3 linked regions of the Stegostoma tigrinum genome follow. The protein of the gene in region 3 purifies or fractionates together with the protein of the main gene of each other region. This does not show direct contact. Links are inferred from orthologs where the notes say so. Each region holds a gene or a part of one and is shown on either strand. Other genes may lie near its edges.

Evidence for each region. The genes of interacting proteins can lie anywhere in the genome.
Region 1: the proteins of bbs12 (region 3) and mkks purify together in Homo sapiens (co-immunoprecipitation; 4 studies listed by BioGRID and IntAct, counting the BioPlex papers as one, with this or other methods). This does not show direct contact. The link is inferred for Stegostoma tigrinum from reciprocal best matches to the Homo sapiens genes BBS12 and MKKS.
Region 2: the proteins of bbs12 (region 3) and bbs7 purify together in Homo sapiens (co-immunoprecipitation; 3 studies listed by BioGRID and IntAct, counting the BioPlex papers as one, with this or other methods). This does not show direct contact. The link is inferred for Stegostoma tigrinum from reciprocal best matches to the Homo sapiens genes BBS12 and BBS7.

What each region holds. Positions count from the first base shown.
Region 1 is NC_081362.1:7,624,735-7,632,646, forward strand, and holds the start of mkks (McKusick-Kaufman/Bardet-Biedl syndromes putative chaperonin), read left to right. Parts: upstream 1-4,577; 5' UTR 4,578-4,578; coding exon 4,579-5,566; intron 5,567-7,912. UniProt on the Homo sapiens protein: Probable molecular chaperone that assists the folding of proteins upon ATP hydrolysis. Plays a role in the assembly of BBSome, a complex involved in ciliogenesis regulating transports vesicles to the cilia.
Region 2 is NC_081354.1:36,654,308-36,662,245, reverse strand, and holds the start of bbs7 (Bardet-Biedl syndrome 7 protein), read right to left. Parts: upstream 3,336-7,938; 5' UTR 3,084-3,335; coding exon 3,048-3,083; intron 3,040-3,047; exon of another isoform or gene 2,945-3,039; coding exon of another isoform or gene 2,933-2,944; intron 1,913-2,932; coding exon 1,847-1,912; intron 1-1,846.
Region 3 is NC_081354.1:35,335,476-35,342,701, forward strand, and holds the start of bbs12 (Bardet-Biedl syndrome 12 protein), read right to left. Parts: upstream 3,308-7,226; 5' UTR 3,050-3,307; coding exon of another isoform or gene 3,043-3,049; coding exon 3,016-3,042; intron 1-3,015. Other genes in the region: uncharacterized protein cetn4, read left to right, coding at 3,592-3,594. UniProt on the Homo sapiens protein: Component of the chaperonin-containing T-complex (TRiC), a molecular chaperone complex that assists the folding of proteins upon ATP hydrolysis.

The sequences.
Region 1 (7,912 bases), on a different chromosome or scaffold from region 3:
GCTTGAGAGACGGGACATTGCTATCTGAGCGTCCAGGTTAAGTTATTTCTGAGCTCCCTTTCTCCACCCCAGCCTCCCCCAGTAAATTTTCTGAAGAAAGGTCCCGACCCGCAATGTCAGCTTTCCTGCTCCTCTGATGCTGCCCGGCCTGCTGTGTTCATCCAGCTTCACACTGTGTGTTATCTCGGAATCCAGCATCTGCAGTTCCTGCTATCTCCGGCTGTAGGTTAATGTGGAATGTATTTATGTTTAACAGCTTGAGCACAGTTAAAGCCATTCTGTGCGTTTTTGTTTTGCCAAGGTATTTACCAGACTGAGATTGTTGAAGTAACAACGGAAGTTCCCAGTTCTGACGAAGGGTCACTCGACCTGAAATGTTATTTCTGACTTCTGTCAACAGATGCCGTTAGACCTGTTGAGCTTACCCAGCAATTTCTAATTTTTGGTTTACAGAATCCACAGTTCTTTAAGTTTTTACTGAAGTTGCTGAAGACTCACTAGACCTGGAACGTTGGCCCGAGTTTCTCTCCACAGATGCTGCCAGACCTGCTGAGTTTCTCAGATGCCATTTCTGCCACACCAGCAAGATGCCGCCACCAGACACACATGCCCTTCCCCTCTCCTCCTCTCTCTTGTCCGCATTCCGCAGGAACTGTTCCCTCCAGGACACCTGCACTCCCAAGAATCTAGTCTACTGCATTTGCTGCTCACAATGTGGTCTCCTCTATATTGGGGAAACGAAGCATAGACTTGGCGACCGCTTTGCAGAGGATCTATGTTCTGCTCACAAAAAAGACCATGAACTACCTGTTGTCTGCCACTTCAATGCACCACCTTGCTCCTTGGCCAACATCTCTGTCTCCAGCTTGCTACAGCGTTCCACTGAAGCCCAGAACATGCTGGAGGAAGAACACCTCATTTCTGCTTGGGGACCCTACAGCCCTCCGGATTCAATATTGAGTTCGATAATTTTAGGGCCTAAATTCTTCCGTTCCCAGTCCCCACCCCACACACCAGGTCTTGTTATCACATAGCCTGCCACTACACATCCCCTGTTGTTCATCACTAACAGTCCCTATTAATAATTATTCACCCTCCCAGCCTGATTGTTCGCAACTCCTTTGTCTGTCCAACTGTGTCTCTCTCTCTCTCTCTCTCTCTTTGGGCTCTATCCTGTCGTTTACTCCCTACCCCACCCACCTCCATTATTTTCTGCATATAAACTGATGTTTTCCAGCTACCATCAGTTCTGAGGAAGGGTCATCGGACCAGAAGTGTAAACTCTGTTTTCTCCTCCATAGCTGCTGCCAGACCTGCTGAGCTTTTCCAGCAACTTTGTTTTTGTTGCTGCTGAGTTTCTCTAACATTTTTCATTTTTGTTTGAGGTTGCTAAGCCTTTCCTTACCTAGCTTTTACAAGCCCTTATTCAACCTTAGTATTTTGTTCATCTCTGAAATGAGTCACAAACCCATTGACTCAAGATTGGGTTTATTATTTGATCTCTCTAATTCCTGACTTGTCCTAAGGTCTAACTTTGTTTTAGTCTGATAGCTCTATCCTAACACCCATTCTTTGCAGCAATCGACTCCAATCTCTGACTTCATTAATTTTGAAATCTTAATTTTCAGTTGTCCAAATGGCTTTGCTTCACCCTATGTCTAATCTCCAACATTGTTGTCCTGACTCTTCAGTCCTTTTGACCTTATTTAAATGGTATGACATTCATATCTCACTGACTAAATGTTATTGTATTTGCAGGTGACTGTTTAAATCAGACATGGGTCTCAAAACTGTCTGGAAAAACTACAGAGTTTTAATTGTTATGGGAACAAGTCTTACACTGATTCACTGGGGATGGTACAATATGAAGTCTAGTGAAACCTTCAAGAACAGAAACCAAGACTATATTCCACAGCCAGAAGTTTTGACAAGTATCATCCAAAAGGAAAGCCGACCAAAGGGAAATTAGTAATTCGATTTGCTGGGTAAGCCATACCCCCTTCATAAATTATGTCAAGAGTAGGTAAATCACCTCAAATTATGATGTTTGAAAAGTGTGCAAAAATACACAAAACTAGGTTACGGCTTGTTTGCAGGAGCTTATCTATTCTGTAGCAATACAAGAAAACAACTGTGTGTTCTTGAGGTTCAAATATCCCTTTTAGTTTTAATTATGGATTTGGGAGAGTATGTGGATGGTTCCAGGTCTTTCCTGCTTTCCTTGATCAGAGGACACGGTGACTATCTTTTGGGTGGGTGCCTCAACAGAAAGGCAAAGGGGTTTAAACAGAAAGAGTACATATTTGACACTTTTTTAATCAAACTCTGTTAACACAACAAGCTGCATTTATAAAACAAAAGTAGGATTTGTTGTCATTTCTAGGATATTTAAACAAAGGTATGTCATTGATGGTAATCCAATAGGTACATGTGTGAACTTAGTACGATGTTCTGAAGTCCAGCAAAACCATTACTGTTATCATTGAAATGACCTAGATTTGAATACATTTCCAAAATTGGCAACCAGTTCATGTCTTGGTAATACAATAATTATGTATAATAGTGGTACGTGTCAGGAGTACAAGGAGACAGAAGTGAGAAAATAAACTGAAAAATGGATGGTGCAATTTAATTGTGTTTGGATTTGAAGTGCTTAAACTTTGGGAGCACTAACATGGAAAGACATTATCGTATGCTTGGTGCTATTTTGAGGAGGATGTATAAACTTGAGAGTCTGCAGCACAGGTTCTTAAATGTTTGAAGTGCCAGGGCAAATGTAGAAGGTGGTTAAGAAATTAATTGGAATGCTGGGTTTAAAACTGTACAAACCAAGATGTCAACCATTTAGACCTTCGACCCTGCCCCACCTTGCAATAAAATCATGACTGATCGGATTTTAACCTCAAATCTGCATTCCCATCTAACCCTGAAAACATATCGCCCCAACGCTTAACAAGAATCAGTACATCTCTGCCTTAAATGAACAGAAACCTAGGGATGCAGGTACATAGCTCATTAAGAGCGGTGTCACAGGTAAATGGTGGTGAAGAAGGCATTTGGCACACTTGCTTTCGTTAATCCAAGTGTTGAGTACAGGAGTTGGGACGTCATGTTACAGCTGTACAAGACATCGATAAGGTCACATTTGAAGCACTGCATATAGCAGCTAGAAATGATGCAGAAGAATTTACAAGTATATTACCAAGCTTGGAAGTTTTGAGATATAAGGAGACGCTGGAAATTTTTTCTCTCGAGTGGGACTGAGGGGATGACCTGAAACAGTTTTATAAAATCACAAGAGTCGTAGATAAGATGAATAGCTGAGGTCTTTTCTCCAGAGGAGGAGAGGGGAGTCCAAAACTAGAGGGCATAAATTTAAGGTAGGAGGGGAAGATTTAAAACGGATCTGAGGGACAACTTGTTCACACAGAGGTTGGTGGATATGGAATGAGCTGCCAGAGATAGTGCTGGAGGTGGATACAGTTACAACACTTAAAAGACATTTAGACAGGGTACTTGGATCCAAAAAGTTTAGAGGGAAATGGGCCAAATGCGAGCAAATGGAACTCGCGCAGTGTAGGAAACCTGGTCACCTTGAATGAGTTGTGCCGAAGTCCTTGCCGTACGACTCTGTAAATAATGCGTAAAGGACAGCTTCTACTACCACCTTCTTTTCAGGAATAGAGTTGCAAAATCTCGCAACTCTGAAAGAAAATATTTCGCCTCAGTTCCATTTTAAATGGATGACCCCTGATTTTTAAACAGTGACCTCAAGTTCTTGATTCTTCTATAATTCATCCTGTCCAGACTCCTCAGGGTCTTTAAAAATTGGGAAAATAAAGACTAAGAAACTCTTAAAAAAAGCTTTACCGCTTTCTGGATAGGCTTCAGTTGAAAGAGCTGTGGAATCAGATTTCATAATTTTTTTTAAAGTCAATTGGGCATGTAGTTGAAAAGTTCAAATTTACAGGTATATGGGGGAGTCCAGGCTGAAGTTTAGGACTAAACTGTTTCAGAACCAGCGGCATGATAGACTACGTTGTCTTCTCAATGATGTAGATTCTATGATTGGAAAACTTAATTTTTTTAAGCACAATTTAACTGTCTGTATTTTCTATTTACAGATAATAAATTGGAATGCAAATATTTCATTGTCGCATCCTTACAGAAGAATGAGAAATAAAAGATGGCTACGCAAAAATTGGCTTCTGGTGGCAGGACTGTCCTTACTTGGCATCCATAGTGTAACCTACTTGATGCAGAAATTTGTAAAAAAATCAACAAGTTTAGAATTGAAGCAGAAAAATGTAGATAAATAATAATGAAATGCCAAGCAAGATGAATCTTCTACAATGCATCCAAATTTTGCTCTTCTGGTTGGTTTAACGTTGAAATATATTTCAATGGGAATTTCAAATTATTTTCATCTTCTATAATATGACTGGCACGTTTGGAATGTACAACCTTTTAAATGAGCAGAGGTGAAGTGCTGCATGTTAAATTTCAGTTTCCTTTTGCAAATAATAAACCAACTAATCCTTGCAAGTTTGCTGTTTTCAAACCTTCCACTCTACCTGAATGATGGCCTCAATTGTGCGTAAAATAGCATCTTCGTGCAGCTCCGGACCGTTAAATAGTGATGTTCTTTGTCAGGCTCTTTCCACTCTCAGAGGAATTGTGGAGTCCTGTTATGGCCCATTTGGTAGACTTAAACTAATTCACAATGCTGTAGGAGGCTACGTTTTAACCACATCACAGTCTTCAGCCCTTTTGCGTAGCCTTTCTGTGTCCCATCCTGTGATCAAGTTACTAATAGCTTCCGTGCTGAATCATGTTTCTCGATTTAGCGATTCTGGACTATTTACAGCAATTCTCTGCTGTAATTTGGCTGAAAGTGCAAAACAACTTAACATATTAACCAGTCACATTGTCAAAATCCATAAACACCTTCTGAATATTTGCCTTGACTATCTAACTTCAGAAGAATGTAGCTGCAAAATACAAATAGATTTTAGTAACAGCAAGACTTTGCTTTCGCTTGTTCGTACGATGATAAATAAGCCTACTTGTATGCTGACCACAAAAGAAGCTGACTACATCAGTTCATTAGTGTTAAAGGCATTCTTTTATTCAATACCATCTGTGATCGGAGATAATATATCTTTGGGAAAGATGCAGATTGTTCCCATTGAGGGACAACGTGTTACTGACTCTTGTGTGCTTTCTGGGATCCTTATAGAGATATTTTCATCTCCTTCAACAACAGTTGATATTACAAAATTGACAATTGGTTACATTAAGGTTGCTGTATTCAATGTCTCCATGTCAGGAGATGTTGTTGACAGTGGAAATGGAACCTGGGAGGTGACACCAGGTTTCAGGCCAGAAGATGAATCACTTGCACAGCTGCTGAAAGTGGGAAAACAGCTAGTTTGTGACCAAGTTCACCTTGTGGTATGCCAAAAAGTAATCCATCCTGTTCTAAAACAATATCTTCAGGAGCAACAAGTGATGGTAGGAGATAGACTTGGAGTTGCTCTCATGGACCCTCTGATTCAAATAACAGGTCGGTATGTTAATCACTAACAATACTTCACCGAGTGCCTTTGATGTTTGTGCTTAGGTTCAAACTTTGAAGATGAAAGTGTTCATATGTTCTTCATTTTAGTATTGGTTGTTTAGTGTTTTCTTTTTGTTTTAACTCCCTAAGACTTATTGCTAGGTTGCAAGAAATATAAACATATATTTTATAGTTCCAAAATAATAACTTGTGCTTTACATCAGTTATCTGTGGTAAGATTTTCTTAAAATCATGAGAATGGTGTCATTAACCTAGTTGTGTAACTTATTTAATTATGTGATTCAAAACCAGTTTCCTTTCGTAAATGTAACTGAATGTCCTTTTAGCCATAGATTAATTGCCTGCCATTTAGATTCCCATTCTACTTAACACCAATTAATATCTGCACCTAGTTGGCAAAAAAGACCTCAGAAGGCTGTTTTGAAAGATATAAGTACATTAGCAACATGACCTAAGAATTCATCATTCCTTTCAACATTTGGTGCTATCTTTAACACTTTTTTAAAAAACAAATTCTTGGTGGTCTGCTACATAATATTAGTCATCAAGTTTTCCCTTGCGGTTTTCTACATGATAAGTTCTGTGTCATCCATACTGGCTGTAAGAGGTGGCAAAATAACACAAGAGAAAATGTGCGCTCATCACACATTGCTCTTGCATGATTGCCCATACATAAGTGACCAGCAGAGAGACTTGGGAGCACACTAACCAACCTGCCTACTTTGAATCATAGAATCCCTACAGGGCCTTCAGCCCAACAAGTCTATACTGACCCTCTGAAAATCCCATCCAGACTCATCCCTCATAACCCACCTAATCTACACATCACTGAACACTATGGGCAATTTAGCACAGCCAATTCACCTAGCCTGCATAACTTTGGACTGCGAGAGGAAACCCCAGCACCCAGGGGAAACCCATGCAGACACAGGGAGAATGTGCAAAGGCTGAGGAATTGTGCAGAATAGAGGATCTAAACTGGAAAAATATGAAATTATAGTGATCAATATATGAGAAAAATTAGTTTTCAATCAAGAAACGTCATTTTTTAAAATTACATTGTTATGAGATATGGGCTTCATTGGTAAGGCAAGAGTTTGGTGCCTATCCCTAAAAGACCTTAAAACTGAGTGACTTGGACCATTTAAGAGGGCATTTGAAAGTCAACCACCTTGCTTTGCATCTGGAGTCACACAAAGGTCAGACTGGCAGATTTTCTTTCCTGAAGAATAGTAGTAAATCTAATGTATTTTTAAGACAACCAGTGATAGTTGTCATGGTCACCAGTACTGAGGCCAGCTTTCAATCTCAGATTTTATTGACGGCATTTAAATTCTACCGGTTGCCACAATGGGATTTGAACCCATATTTCCAGAGCATTGGTCTGAGTGTCTGGATTATTATTACCTATTAGAGTGAATGTTACAGCTTTCAGTGTAGATGGCTGATTTGAACAGGTTTCAAAAAATGGGTCAATTAAGGTTGAGTACCTACACATTAAAATTCCTGATATCTGCCACCGAATTCTCTATTAACCAGAATTCTGTGAGTGGGTCTGTTTCTTGACTGGAGGTGTTTCTTATCCATCAGAAATCAGTATTAATCTACATTCCCCATCAATTCCAACTGTCTCGCTATTGCTCATAATTGCCACACTCATTGGTAGTCATGATGAGCAGCCTGCCTTCACTCTGGTCCTTCCAAGTCCACAATGTCATATTCCTTTGGTGCAGCTCACTAGATTTGCATGCTCCATCTGTTGTGGAATCTCAACACCTGCATTACTGTGTGATCATTCAGGAGCTTTCTGATTTGATGAAAATGTGGATCTTAACTTGCATCTTTGTTTATCGATATGCTTGATTAACCAGCACCCTCCATTCCTGGAACCTGTTGGATAACAGTAACCTTCTTATAGCTAAGGTAGCTTAAAATATCATTTGGGTAGTTTTGTGCAGTGACTACAGAATAGATATGGGAATAATGGTTGGCAATAAAATTTACGCTGAGAGCTTGACATTGATGAAATGCTGAACCCTATAAGGATTTGTTCTTAGCCACAAACTTTTCTTTGCACACCTTTCATCTGAAGACCAAATCAGATTTGGACAAGTAGGAGCAGTTTAGTTCAAATGTCAGTCATTGACCTTACATATCAGATGGAGAAATATTGTGTTTCACAAGTCTAGCAAAGCAAAACCTATTTCTGTAACAAAGTGAGTGGAAAATAATTTTTGCATACTGTCATTCAGTGCTACATTCTGTTCTGTCAATTGCAATGATTATTTAAATGTAGGCTTCACAATGCCTTATGCAGAAAACTCATTAAGT
Region 2 (7,938 bases), about 1.3 Mb from region 3:
TCGTGTTCTTCTGGGTGGTAGATGCTACAGGTTTGGAAGGGACTTCAAAAGGGCTGAGTGAGTTGTTGTAATACATCTTGAATATCGTACACACTGCTGCCACTGTGTCACTGGCGAAGGGAGTGAATGTTAAAGTTGGTAGGTTGGTACCAATCAAGCAGGCAAATTTGTCCTGGAAATTCTTAAGTCCTGTTGGAGCAACATTCATCCGGCTAATGGACAGTATTCCAGCAGACTCCTAACTTTGCCTTGTAGATTGCAGACAGACACTGGGGAAAACACGTGGTGAGTTATGCCTCACAATTCCCAACTGCTCTTGTGAATACAGGATTTACATGGCTAAACCAGTTTAGTTTCAGGTCAGCTGTAACCCCAGGATGTGGACAGTCACAATTTTTGTCATGATGAGGTCATTGAATGCCAAGGGGAGATGGTTAAATTCTCCCATGTTAGAGATGATTGTTTCATGCCACATAAGTGCTTAGCATGTTACCACTAATCAACTCAAGCCTGGATGATGTCCAGGTCTTGTTGCATTTGCACGTGGACTATTTCAGTATCTCGAGTTGTGAATGCTGCTAAATGTCGTACAATTAGCAGCAACATCCCTATTTTTGACATTATGGTGGCAAAAAGATCATTGCTAAAACAGCTGAAGATTGTTGGGACTAAGGCATTAGCTTGAGGAACTAAGATCTCTGGAGTTACAGTGGATGTGTCCCGACCTCGAGCCGAGAGATCTGGGATCAAATGTCACCTGCTTTGAAAGTGTTTAATAATATCCCTGAACAGACTGATTGGAAAACACCTAAACTGAAAAACTCCTTTAATGTTACTCCAGGACTGAGATGATTGATCTCCGACAACAAGTGTCTTCCTTTGTATAAGACGTGGCTCTAATTCCCATTGAAGCCAGTTTTGCTGGGACATCTTGACACCACACACTGTCCTTAACATCAAGGCTGCACTTGATAATCACTCTGACCTCACCTCTAGAATTCAGCTCTTGTGACAATCTTGGGATCAAGGATGTAATAAGGTTAGGAGCTCTGTAGCCCGTGAGCAACTCAAACCAAGGTTCAACAAAAAGAATTTTCTAAGCAAGTGCCATTTGACAGCAGCGAGAGTGACCTCTCCAACGTTTTGTTCATGATGGAGAGAGGCCAAAAGGGCAGTAATTCAGTGAATTGGATTTATCCTTTGTGTGGACAGATCATAACTGGGAAATTTTCCACATTGGCAGCTACCTGGCAATGATGTAGACATAATGGAATGGTTTCATTAGGGGCACAGTTAAAACTGGTACCCAAGTCTTCAGCACAGTTGCTGGAACGTTGTCAGGGTCCGTAGCTTTTGCACTATCCATGCCTTCAGTCGCTGCTCAATATCACACGGGAGTGAATCAAATTAGCTGAAAACTAATTGGGACCTCAGGAGGACAACGAGATGAATTGTCTATTTGGCACTGCTGGGTGAAGATATATGCCATGGTTCAACCTTGTCTTTTTTTCCCCCACCACTGAGCTGGATTGAGATATTTGCAGACTGTCTTTCTCCAGTTCTTTTACTTGTCCAGCATCATTCACTGTTCATGTGATAGGCCTGCAGACTTTAGATATGATCACTTAGCTGTAAGATCTGTCTATTGTTTGGCCATTATAAAACTAAAATGCAAATTTCTACTTAAATATGCTTTCCAATAATGTCACAACATACAGTAAAAACATCCCTGCTGAGAAAACTACGTGGTGCTACATCAAGGATAGGACATCTTTTTTCCTTTCTCCCACACTTTTGCCTGGAACTGAAAAAACAAGTTACATGTGTTAACTTAATGTGAATTAACCTTTTGGATTGCTCTGCGTCCTGATGCAGGTAGCAGCCTCATGGTCTTTTGGGAAGTCACTCCTACCTAGGAGAAGAAAAAAGGGCTACTTACAGCAACATCACAACAAATAAACATTGATTATTCTAGTCCCTGAATGCACCACACTATGGGATGGGTCAAAGAAAAACTGGACCAACGTTAGTGTAACTGTAACACTCTACTAAAGTTTCACAAGCCCATTACAGATACAGGAGTCTTGATGCCCCAGTCTACTTCATACAACAGAAAAAAAATCACCCTTTATTAGACCATCCTAAATTTCTTGACAACTTTTTGCATCTTTACTGATCCTTTGTGTCATACATCCTTTCTCATCAGAAGAACTAGATTAGATTAGATTACCAACAGTGTGAATACAGGCCCTTCAGCCCAACAAGTCCACACCACCCCTTGAAGCACCCCACCCTGACCCATACCCCGATAACCCACACGCCCCTGAACACTATGGGCAATTTAGCATGGCCAATCCACCTAGCCTGCAAAATAACCATTATTGTGCTATCACCACAGTAAGTACAACTTTTGTAAGTTGGAAGTTACAATTGCTCTTTTGGGAGATAGGATTTTTGACTGGCTGTTAAAAAAATCTCAGCTAATGTGTGCAGGAGGATGATTTAATCACATCATTGAAATCAGAACAACAGTATCAAATTTATACCAACTTAATGTTTTCAAGTAGACACAATAATAGGACGTATACAGTAAAAGATTGCTAAGTTCAACATTTATATTTCTGAGCAATGGTCAACAAATCTGGCTCAGGAACAGGAACTTCCACTTCCTTCCAAAGTCAGTGTGCTAATTCCAGCGACCTTATCATCCCTCTGGTAATACAAACTGAAGATGAACTTTGGGACCAGGACATTGCTTGGAATTCTATTGCCTGAAATAATGGAGTTCACTTCACATAGATTTGTTAAGTATTACCTAACAGAAATTCTAAACATGAAACTAATTTGTTTACAAGACATTCTCTTCTCATGAAATCCAGCACTTGTGTAGCAATATGTATGCTAGTTTATCTTTACTAACTAAAATCTTTACCAACACTCCCATCCTCAAACGGCAAAGGTGTCAAAATTATTCTCCATCTACTGGATTTAACAGCTATTAGCGCCTCTTATTCCAACCCAGGTGATAACGGAATCACGTCTACAACCTGCAGGTAGTCAACGCGGTTTAAATTTAAATCCATGGACGCAGGAAATTCTTATTCTGTAAAGATTCCTAAAACGAGCGGATTGAGACGACGGCTGGGTCCGACTTTAAAACTATTACGGACAAAGCACCGGGAAAAAGACAACGCCGCATATGAAAATCATGCCAGAAATCGCTGGGCATTCAATGCATCAAACTGGGCGAAAAACAGCAACCAAACCCACAGACTACTTATTTATAAAACAACTCCTAAATCTGTACAAAACCACACAGGGGCCTGCTCATTCCGTTTCTATGGTAATCAAAGGCGTCTCAAACACCACACATCATTGGTTTTCGGAGATCGCACAGGCATTTAAACTCAGCGCTCATTGGCAGGGTCCGCTTCCCCAATCACTTCATGAAAGTGAAGGCGACATCCTTCTCAGAGTCAGGATTTTTTAAAAACCGTGACTTTCATTTATGTGAGAGATAATGGGAACTGCAGATGCTGGAGACTCCAAGATAACAAAATGTGAGGCTGGACGAACACAGCAGGCCAAGCAGCATCTCAGGAGCACAAAAGCTGACGTTTCGGGCCTAGACCCTTCATCTTATGTAGCTGCTTTCATGACCACCAGATGTCTCAAAGTACTTTATAACCAATGAAGCACTTTTTGAAGTTTGGTTACCGTTGCAATATAGGAAACATAGAAGCCAGTTTTCATCTTAAGATGCCAAGATTCAATGCAAAAGTTCATTTGGGCATAAGCAATTTATTTTGGTTTACATCATCTCTTGGCACAGAAGCCTTGTGCGGAACCACTCTGCATAGCTATGCTTCACTGAACCCAAACAGATAGAGAAAGTAGGCCTCCTGGAGTTGTACACAGTCTGTGAATTTTGATCTGATTTTTTTTGGGTGCAGCCTTTAGTCCTCCCTAAACATTTCCTAAGATTGCCCCATTTAAACTCTCTGTGTGACTGTTGGAGTCTGAGAGTTATTTCAAATCCTTGGGCATGGAGGTCGGAAGAAGTTCACTAGGTAGAAATTGGAAGGAGATAAAAACACCTCCATTTTGACCAGCTTTTTATTTTGCAGCAATCAAACTTCATATCAGTCCACTAAACCGCACGCACTAGCGGGAAAAGTCTGAGAAAATCATTATTTTAATCACCTTGTTCAGACATGTCCTGACACACCTCATGAGTTGGGTGGGTCTTGAACCTACACCTTCTTGTCCAGAGGTCCACTAGGGATACTTTCTCTGCCTTTATAAAAATTCTAAATCTAAGAAAATAGAGGGGCATTTCAGCCATTACCATACAGTTCAAGTTCCGTTCTGCCTTGGGAGCTTATGACACCAAGCGTATTTTAGAAACCCGATATAGAAAAGAACTTCTGTGGTTGTACTGTTTTTCAACTCTTCCATGTATAGTATTCATAAATGATTATCTCAGACTTTAGTGTTCACATGCAAAACGGGAGATGTGGTGTAAGTTACTCTGTTGTTCAGAGATGAATTGTGTAGGCTGATTTCTACTTTTTAATATTGGTTCTTCTGTTGTGAATGAGAATCTCAACTGGCATAAATTCCATCTTACTGCGAATACTGGTAAGGTTGCAACACTTCATCTTTTTCCTGATGAGAGGAACCTGTGTTTATTGTAATAATTTTGTAGACAATTTAATTTGTCTTGACACTAAAGATGCACTCTATCATGTTGTGTCACACTACCACTGTGTTAAATGTGTTGTATGTCAAACAGATCTAGCAAGTCAAAACTGGGTATCTATTGGAGGTGATAATGGGAACTGCAGATGCTGGAGAATCCAAGATAATAAAATGTGAGGCTGGATGAACACAGCAGGCCAAGCAGCATCCCATGAGCACAAAAGCTGACGTTTCGGGCCTAGACCCTTCATCAGAGAGGGGGATGGGGTGAGGGTTCTGGAATAAATAGGGAGAGAGGGGGAGGCGGACCGAAGATGGAGAGAAAAGAAGATGGGTGGAGAGGAGATAGGTCAGTCCACCTGCACATCTGCCAATGTGGTATACTGCATCCACTGTACCCGGTGTGGCTTCCTCTACATTGGGGAAACCAAGCGGAGGCTTGGGGACCGCTTTGCAGAACACCTCCGCTCGGTTCGCAATAAACAACTGCACCTCTCAGTCGCAAACCATTTCCACTCCCCCTCCCATTCTTTAGATGACGTGTCCATCATGGCCTCCTGCAGTGCCACAATGATGCCACCCGAAGGTTGCAGGAACAGCAACTCATATTCCGCTTGGGAACCCTGCAGCCCAATGGTATCAATATGGACTTCACCAGCTTCAAAATCTCCCCTTCCCCCACCGCATCCCAAAACCAGCCCAGTTCGTCCCCTCCCCCCACTGCACCACACAACCAGCCCAGCTCTTCCCCTCTACCCACTGCATCCCAAAACCAGTCCAACCTGTCTCTGCCTCCCTAACCTGTTCTTCCTCTCACCCATCCTTTCCTCCCACCCCAAGCCGCACCTCCATCTGCTACCTACTAACCTCATCCCACCTCCTTGACCTGTCCGTCTTCCCTGGACTGACCTATCCCCTCCCGACCTCCCCACCTATACTCTCCTCTCCACCTATCTTCTTTTCTCTCCATCTTCGGTCCACCTCCCCCTCTCTCCCTATTTATTCCAGAACCCTCACCCCATCCCCCTCTCTGATGAAGGGTCTCGGCCTGAAACGTCAGCTTTTGTGCTCCTGGGATGCTGCTTGGCCTGCAGTGTTCATCCAGCCTCACATTTTATTATCTATTGGAGGTGCTGACAGCCATCATCAGCAGAATAGTATTCAATCACAGCCTGTAACTCATGGACTAACCTATCCCCATTCCACCATAACCATTAAGCTGTGAGATCAACACTGGTTCAGTGAAGGGTACAAAAAACATTCCAGGAGGAGCACCTAGCATATCTAAAATTAAATTTTCAGCCTGGGAAAGCTAAAACATATACCATGCAGCAGAAGCAGCTGCAAGAGACCAAGCAAAGTAATTCCCACAAACAACAGATCTAGTGTCTGCATTCCTGCTTTTGTTCCAGCTGTGAATAATTAATAATTAAAGAACTAACAGGAGGCGGAGCAGCAGAAGCTTCACAAACACACCCATCTTCAATTCTGGAAGACCCAGCACATCTGTGTGAAAGACGAGGCTGAACCAATTTCATCTATATTTGTACTGCAGTGCTGAGTGAATGGTCTATCCCAGTTCTTCCCACAGATACCAGTCTTCAGCCAAATTGATTTACTCAGTAACAGCTTCCATCACCTCCCTGAAGATCAAAGATAGACTGGGAATGTAATATCGACTGGAAAAGTAATTGGCCAGATGGGATTTGTCCTTTTTTTGAACAAGTCCAACGATGTGGTCATTAGGTAGATTGGCTATGCTAGATTGTCCATAGTGTTCAGGGATTAACTGTTTGATAAAATGCAAGTTCTAAAGACACAGACTTGATTCTTCAGGGTCATCTGATATCTTAAGATATAGCACTGGTCATGGTTATACAGATGTGAGTATAACCTCAAGAATATAGTATGCTGTCATTATCAAGGAGGTAGCAATAGGGCATGGAGATAATTGTAATATAATAGGGCAGAATCAACATGGTTTTGTGCAACGCATAGCATTTTTAACAAGCTTGTGTGTTATTTGAAGATGTAACAGCCAGGGTGGACAGAGTGGTATCATTTCGGATTTCCAAAAGGCATTTGACAAGAACCACACAAGATAAAATGATTTGTGAGTGATACAACAGCACGGAAAGAGGCTGGGTAGCCAGAGAGAGCTGGGATAAATAGTGAAGTGCCATGGATCACCTCCGGGATCTTAACTTCTTACAATCTGCCTGTGACTTGAAGGGTCCAATTGCAGCCATGCTTTCTGACAACACAAGTTAGACAGGAAAGCTAGTCATGAAGATATAAAGAGGTATTAATTGGTGGGCAAAAGTTTGACATGAAGTGTGGGGCAAATTAGATTGTCCACGTCAGCTAGAAGAAAGGCAGAGTATTATTTAGAAGGAGGGAGACGGTAGAATGTTGCAGTGTAGTGGAATGTGGATGCTCTTTGACTCGAATTACAAAGGATCAGTTTGTAATTAGGAGGTAAAGATAACATTGGCCTTTATTACAAGGAAAATGAACTGTCAGGAAGTCTTGACACAGTTGTATCTGGCATTGGTGAGACTAGAACTACAGTATGTTTTTTGTCTTCTTAAGAGAAAAATACTTGCATTGGAAGCAGTTGAGAGAATATTCATAATGAGAGAATATTCATAAGACAGATGCCTTCATCTAAGGAATCAGACTAATGAGGAAATGTTGAGCAGGTTGGGTCTGTGCTCATTTTAAATTAATAATATGGGGGTGCCAGTGTTGGAGTGGGACACACAAAGTCAGAAGTCACATGATACCAGGTTATAGTCCAGCAGGATTATTTGAAATCACTAGTTTTTGGAGCACTGCTCTTTTGTCAGGTGACTTCTTATATTACAATTGTCGACATGTTCTATTGTTACCTCCTTGTTAACACTCCTTGGTCAATATCAATGTGAGTATAAACTATGACCAGAACTATATTTCAGAAGATATCAACATTCCTGAAGAATCAAGTCTCTAGGACTTGATCGAGCAAGGTCCCAGATTTGTTTCCTGCACTGGGCAACTGTTTGTGTGCACTTTACACGTTCTGTCTATGTCTGTGTGGGTTCCCTACAGGAGATAATGGGAACTGCAGATGCTGGAGATTCCAAGATAATAAAATGTGAGGCTGGATGAACACAGCAGGCCAAGCAGCATCTCAGGAGCACAAAAGCTGACGTTTCGGGCCTAGACCCGGGTCTAGGCCCGAAACGTCAGCTTTTG
Region 3 (7,226 bases):
TTCAGCAATCATCAATGTTCAATAATGCCAGCACACTATTTTCTGAACAAGAGTTGTCAGGAATACTTAGTACCCAGTCCAGCCCTTTTTATAGACAGATTTCTGACTTACATTCTTCCACATCTACCTGAGTCTCCAGCTCCCCGATATTCTTTACCATATTGCATGTCTACAGCTATGCATGGTAAACCTGATTTTGACCTGTTGCATCCCGTCTCTGGTCTGACCCATTTGGTACCTAACTATTTACGACTCTAGTACACCAAGTCTCCTAGTTCATTGAACACCTTGCTTCCATTCCATAGAACTGAGTTTAAACCCTCCCCAGTTGTACTTACAACACATCTTGGAAAGATAATGGGCTGTTCAGATGCAGCGCAACTGACCTATATAGATTGCACCTCCCCAAAATCAGTCCAGAAGGTTCACCTTCCTGCACACTCTCTCCAGTCATTCATTCACATGCTCTATCCTCCTATTACCCAGGGAAATACCATTCACTTGCCTACATGTCTCACATCAACTTAGATGGGAACAGAGTAACAGGACTGCATGTAAGGGTCTTGCTTGGATCTCATCCCCAACTATCTACTTTCCTTTTTCTTTTTACTTCTGCTCTTTATTTTCTTTTTCTTTTCTTTGGCAGGTTAGTTGGCAGCATTGGCACAAGCGACAGTGGGCCGTGCACAGAAACGGCAGCAGCTTCCTGGCAGTCAAAGTGGATGCTGCTCCTCCTAGTGATTTGTGGCGGCAGCAGCAGCAAGGACATCCTCCCTGCATTCGGGGCTAGGGGCAGCTTCTTCAAGACGGCAGTGAGGTGCTACCTCGAAAGAATGTGCCCGGAACTAGATTCTTGGCATTATGGCAACCTGGCCTGGCAGTGGAGCCAGAGACTCTTGATTGCAGTCGGTCCAATGAAGGGCACTCCTGGAGCCGTCAAGGTGGCAGCTGCAACGTGGTAAGCCTGGAGTGGGGACTCCTGACATCATCGAGGCAGCAGCGGAGCCACAGACTCCTGGTTGCAGTAGGCCGATAGTGGGGACTCCTGGCATTGGCAAGGTGGCAGAACACCTGGAGCAGGGACCTCTGGTGTCATTGAGGGAGCAACAGAACCAGGAATGCCTGGTTGCAGGTGCCATACGCCTGGATCGGGGACTTCTGGTTATTGGCAAGGCAGTGACAGCCAGCGACTCCTGGGGCACTGTGCCTCAGATGACAGGAGATGGGGCAAGTGTGGATTCAATCTGGGACTTGGACTCAGTGAAGTGGGCCCAGCAGCGAAGAGATGGCATCTAAAGAGAGGCGACGTTTACATTGGTGGGTCCAGCACAGGTGGTGGCGAGGCAGTGAAGGAGGGTAGTGACACAGGTGTCATCGGTGCACTGGTTCAGGACTCATGTTGGAGGCACCAGAATAAAGACAGATTCTCTTTCAGATGTATCTTTTGACTCTTTTAATACCTAAACTATTCAAAATGTGGCAAAGATTGAAGCTTTTCACTAAATTTTGGTGTATTATTCACTGTAAAATGCAAATGACAATAAACCCTTCAATTCAATTAGGGGAGATGTTCTAAAATTTTAGCCATTAGTCCTAATCTTTGGTTATCTAGTGCAGAAAGATGGGGTAGATCTTTTTTAAAAAAGGTCTTCTTTGAGAGCCAGTTATCGGTCTGGGATGGACACACAGTAATCCACCAGTGACTCTAGAACTGTATGAAATAAAAATGGAAACAGAGTTAACAGGCTTGGTTTTCAATATGTGGCTGGGGAGTGGGTGGGTGGAATGTTTAGCACAGGTTGCTGGACAGCTCATTTGCAATGTAAAGGGATGCCAACAATATAGGTTCAATTCCCACATTGACTGAAGTTAATATGAGGATTCTCTTTCTCAACATCTCCTGTCATCTGAGGCACAGTGACCCTCAGGTAAACTAGCACCAATCAGCTCTTGCTGTGGTCTGGTAGGACTTAGACACAACCCAAGGTACAAATCCTTACCAACACTTTAAAGGGCTTTGGCAACTTTACCTTTTATTTGTGGGTCAAGAAGTTGGGTGTTGGCACGCTTTGAAAAAGTGCTCCCAAATCAAATTGTAAATTTCTATGTCTTCAAAATGGTTATCTTCATTGGGATTGTGAGGTGGAGGTTGTGAAGTAACATCGAAGAGCATGGTAACGGGCTGACAGGACTGGTGAGTTGAACATTACAAACATAGGATGCTTTGTAAGTCTGCCCTCACAACTCAACTACTTTCCACATTGCTGCTTCCTCCACTACGCACTGCACCCCAACAGACGAACAACTCACCCAACTCCACCCCACTTCAGGCACTCAATCCTGAGCTTCTCTACTTAAACCTCCCATCTACCCCTCTCACTTAGGGTCAGCTCCACTCACTCAACTCTTACGATTCCCACAGGAGCTTTTGCTTCACGCTCCAATTGACGCAGTCCCAGATTTGGGGTCGCCACTCTTTCCCTCACTCAAGCAGGTACCAAACTTTGACAATTTAACCTTCCTGAATGCTGACCGTCAGCCAACATTTCCTACCGTTGAGGAGTCGATATGTGCGGGTGCTGTGTGTTTGCATAAACACCAAAGATATCAGCGTAGAGGTAAGTGGAAAGTTGCCTCTACAGTATCCCACTCGCTGTTCGAAATGGTGACCCGGGAAGTCAATGTACAGGCCACAATATAAAATTACGGTATATACCCTGGGTCAGTTGGTCATCTTGCAATTCAGATCAAAAATTAAATCCAACATTGCTGCTCAAAGACTTTTACCAGAACACAATGATCATATTAACATGGCCAGGTGTGTTAAACTTTCACGGGGGTCGTAAATTAGGTTTTGTGTTGGGAGTATGATCGGATTGGTGTCTCCTCATGAACAGACTTGTAAATGTCCTTTCTTCCTCATGACGATGCGTTACTTCCATAGGCCAATTACTGCAGACAGCAGAGCGGAAACCACACCTTCAGCCAGCTCAGAGTCCGAGCTGCAGACATTACCTGTGAATAGCTGGTTACCTGCTCCATTTCTCATGCAGCCGCCTCCGGAACCCAGGTAGTTCTCAGGACATAATAAACCGCCTTTTGGACCAAAGTCTCCGTTTTAAACAACGGAAATGACGCATGTAAGCTGTTAGTCGCACAAGTGTTAGCCAAAAATATGTTTAAATCATTAAATAAAAACGACTACCAAAATATAAGATCTGCACAGTTGTTGATGTTTTGGTGCGTTTCCGCATGCCTGCGGCCTGTTTGAGCGGGTTGCTGCGATACCAACCGCGCGCTTTCCCCGCCAGCTCTGACGTCATGGGTCGCGCCCACTCTCGAAGACCATTGGTTGGGGTGTGCGCGTCTTCTCCCGCCCCGCCTGACACCGATTTGTGGTTGGTCAACCGAGGTGCCGGTCAAGGTGACGTCAACGCGCCCACCCCGGTTGTTGACGATTAAGCGTCCGTTTGTCTGGGAAACTAAGTGAGGTGTTCGAGAGTTTGTTTATGTTGGAAGGATAAAACGGTCGGTGCAAGATATCAGCTTCGGGTTTTGTTTTATATACGATTTATCTACGTGCTTCGAGCAATGGTAAGGTTTTTTTGACATAATTCTCTACTGAGTTGATTATTTATTGTATGATTCACTGATTAAATTTTGCTTTCTTCCACTTTAATAGCTTTATAAAACATGTGAGAGGTGCCCACTGAGAGCTCGTGGTTGAGTTAAATATTGTCAATCCAGAAGAATGTATTGATTCCAATAAGTGGCCCTTCCACTTGTTCTTACTATGTAATTGATAATTAAATGTGTTACAAGTTTCGGTTAAGTCGATTCAAAATCAAATTTATCCAATTTTAATAGGCTATAAACCCTAAATTTACTTTACAGGAAAATAAATTATACTGACAGTTTAAATATTTACAAATCCAAAATAATGGTTATGATTCACTCGATCAAATGGATATGTCAAATTTCAGTACCTCGAATGATCCTTCTTGGAATTTGAGGCCAAAGCGACCATGCACCCCAATTCCAAACTTTCAAAAGCTCTGATGTGCAAATCGTCATTTTGAACAAAGCTGCTCTCACAGCTTCAGAAAAACGGCTGTTCTTTTTGCGAACAGCAATTGATATAAGGCATTCGGGCAGATTTGTCATGTAACAGATTGTACATTTTTGGCCTAGTAATCTGGAGAACTTGGAAATAAATTGCTTATTTATAAAAAGGCAACTAGCGCATTAATATAGTTTTGGGAAAGAAACCTGCCCTCACAACAAGGTTTGTATGTCTTTCTCAGCTGTAGTGTTTGGTATCCATCAACTTTTAGAATTCAGAAATGAGATTAACTAATTTCCAAACTGAAGATGAGAACATCTAACCAGAGCAGTGTACTGCATACATGACAAAGACCAAAAGAACTGTGGATGCTGTAAATCAGGAACAAAAACAAAAGTTGCTGGAAAAGCCCAGCAGGCCTGGCAGCATCTGTGAAGGAGAAAACAGAGTTAAAGTTTCAGGACCAGTGACCCTTCCTCAAAACTGTTCCTCAATTCTGAAGAAGGGTCACCAGCCCCTGCTGGCCTTTTCCAGCTATTGTATACATGATTCGGATTCCGCAGGAAACCTTTCATCAAATCATGCAGAGTAGACAAGACAAAACCCAAAGAGTGAAGAGAACTGAGGGATCAGATGAGCAGTATTTCTCTGAAGTATCCTGACAAATCACTTAACTGTTTCAAACAGTTACATAGCAAACTAAGTGCCAAACTAAACTTGACATTAATTCAAAACATTCTAAAGGCATGCCCAGCCAGCCAATTTGGAATAAAATTACCCTCACTAACATCTGGGCACTGGTGCCAGAGTTGGGAGACTACTCCCCTAGATCAGTCACGCACTCACAGAACAACCAATGTCTTCAACTATTATACCACAATCCCTGATTATAACTCACCAGAAATTAGCAGACAATGGCTAGTAGCTATTGGAATCTTCAGCTGAACCCAACAACTCTATGGCTTGAGATCAAGTATGGGCAAGAAAACCTCCTGTTGATTTCCATCTTCTGCCTTCTCACAGTTCATAAATCAGTACATTAAATAATACTTCGAAGTGCTGCCTAGATGATCCTCCTCAGCTGCTTCTTGACATTCGCCCCTCATCCCACAATAGATACTGATATTCATTCAGTTTCATTCTAACCTGGAGAGAATGTCACTCAATGACTGGAGCATGTTTGTCATATAATTAGATAATGCTTGATCTGTATGTATTTATCTTCATTGACGACCTTAGTTCAATAATTCTCTATGCCTGTCTTTTTGTACTACTCTCTCATGGAAATGTGGAGTCACTGATTAAGCCAGTATTTGTTGACCATCCCCAATTGTACTGGAGAAGGCGATGTATACTGTCTTTTTCAACTACTTTATTCCTTGGTCTGTGGGAACACCCAAATTGCTGATGGGAAGGTACTTACAGGAGTTTGACCCAGCAAAAGACCTAAATGGTTCCAGGATGGTGTGTGACTGGGAAAGGAACTTGCAGGTGATGGTGTTCCCATGTGTCTGCACTTTTTAATGATGATCTGTCAGACTCTTCTGAAATTTTCAATTGACACGGGCTCAATAGGTTTTTGGAGAGAACGCTCCAGATGTCTGCTATCGTTTGTGTAAAGAAGTTCATTTTGATATCACCCTGACTGAATTCTAATTTTTATTTTCAATTCCACAAAAATGAGTGTACTGGATACATCATAGGCCATGTGCTCCACCTACTTTTCAGTTATGACATTGAAAAACTGTGATACAGAGCTGTCTGCATCAACAGGTAAACTGTTCCAGTACAGCTACAACACTTGAATTAACCTTGGCAATGCAGAAAGTTATTTCAAGTATGATCTATCAAAACAAACAGGACAAAGCCAACCCAACTAATTACTCTCCTGCCAACCTCCTTCCAGTGATCAGAAAAAGTGCTGAGGGAGTTGGCTACACTACTTTAAAGAGGCATACACTCACCAACAATCTGCTCATTGATAGAACCTCTTAGCTCCAGGCCTGTACCAATTGTTGACTCAAGCTGAATTCTAGACATAAGATGAATGTACCGGGGTAACTGCAAGCACTTGATACTCCTATCTCATGTAACCAAGCATTGAGCAATTAGCAGATAGATCTAAGAGAAAAAGCTATCTTTGAAAGTGTTTTTTCTTGGAGATTGCTGTTTCAGCTAATGGATGCCTGGCATCTCAGTCTTCTGAGAGTAACAATTACCACTTTAATGGTCTAGTTGATTGATTCTTCTTTTATCTTCATTGACACCTGTAGTAAACTTTTTTTTTGTTTTCTGAAAGTCATGTATTAATTTTTTTTAATATAACTTGTAATATGACTTTCCCCAGTTCAAGAAGGGGAGCAGAGACAACCCTGGTAATTATAGACCAGTGAGCCTTACCTCAGTTGTCGGTAAAGTGTTGGAAAAGGTTATAAGGGATAGGATTTATAATCATCTAGAAAAGAATAAATTGATTAGGGATAGTCAGCACGGTTTTGTGAAGGGAAGGTCGTACCTCACAAACCTTATTGAGTTCTTTGAGAAGGTGACCAAACAGGTAGATGAGAGTAAACTGGTTGATGTGGTGTATATGGATTTCAGCAAGGCATTCGATAAGGTTCCCCACAATAGGCTCTTGTACAAAATGCGGAGGAATGGAATTGTGGGAGATATAGCAGTTTGGATCGGAAATTGGCTTGCTGAAAGAAGACAGAGAGAGGGTGGTAGTTGATGGGAAATGTTCATCCTGGAGACCAGTTGCTAGTGGTGTACCGCAAGGGTCGGTGTTGGGTCCACTGCTGTTTGTCATTTTTATGAATGACCTGGATGAGGGCGTAGAAGGATGGGTTAGTAAATTTGCAGACGACACTAAGGCCGGTGGAGTTGTGGACAGTGACGAAGGATGCTGTAGGTTGCAGAGAGACATAGATAAGCTACAGAGCTGGGCTGAGAGGTGGCAAATGGAGTTTAATGCAGACAAGTGTGAGGTGATGCACTTTGGTAGGAGTAACCGGAAGGCAAAGTACAGGGCTAATGGTAAGATTCTTAGTGTAGATGAGCAGAGAGATCTCGGTGTCCATGTACACAGATCCTTGAAAGCTGCCACCCAGTTTGACAGGGCTGTTAAGAAGGCATACAGTGTTTTAGCTTTTAATAGAAGGAT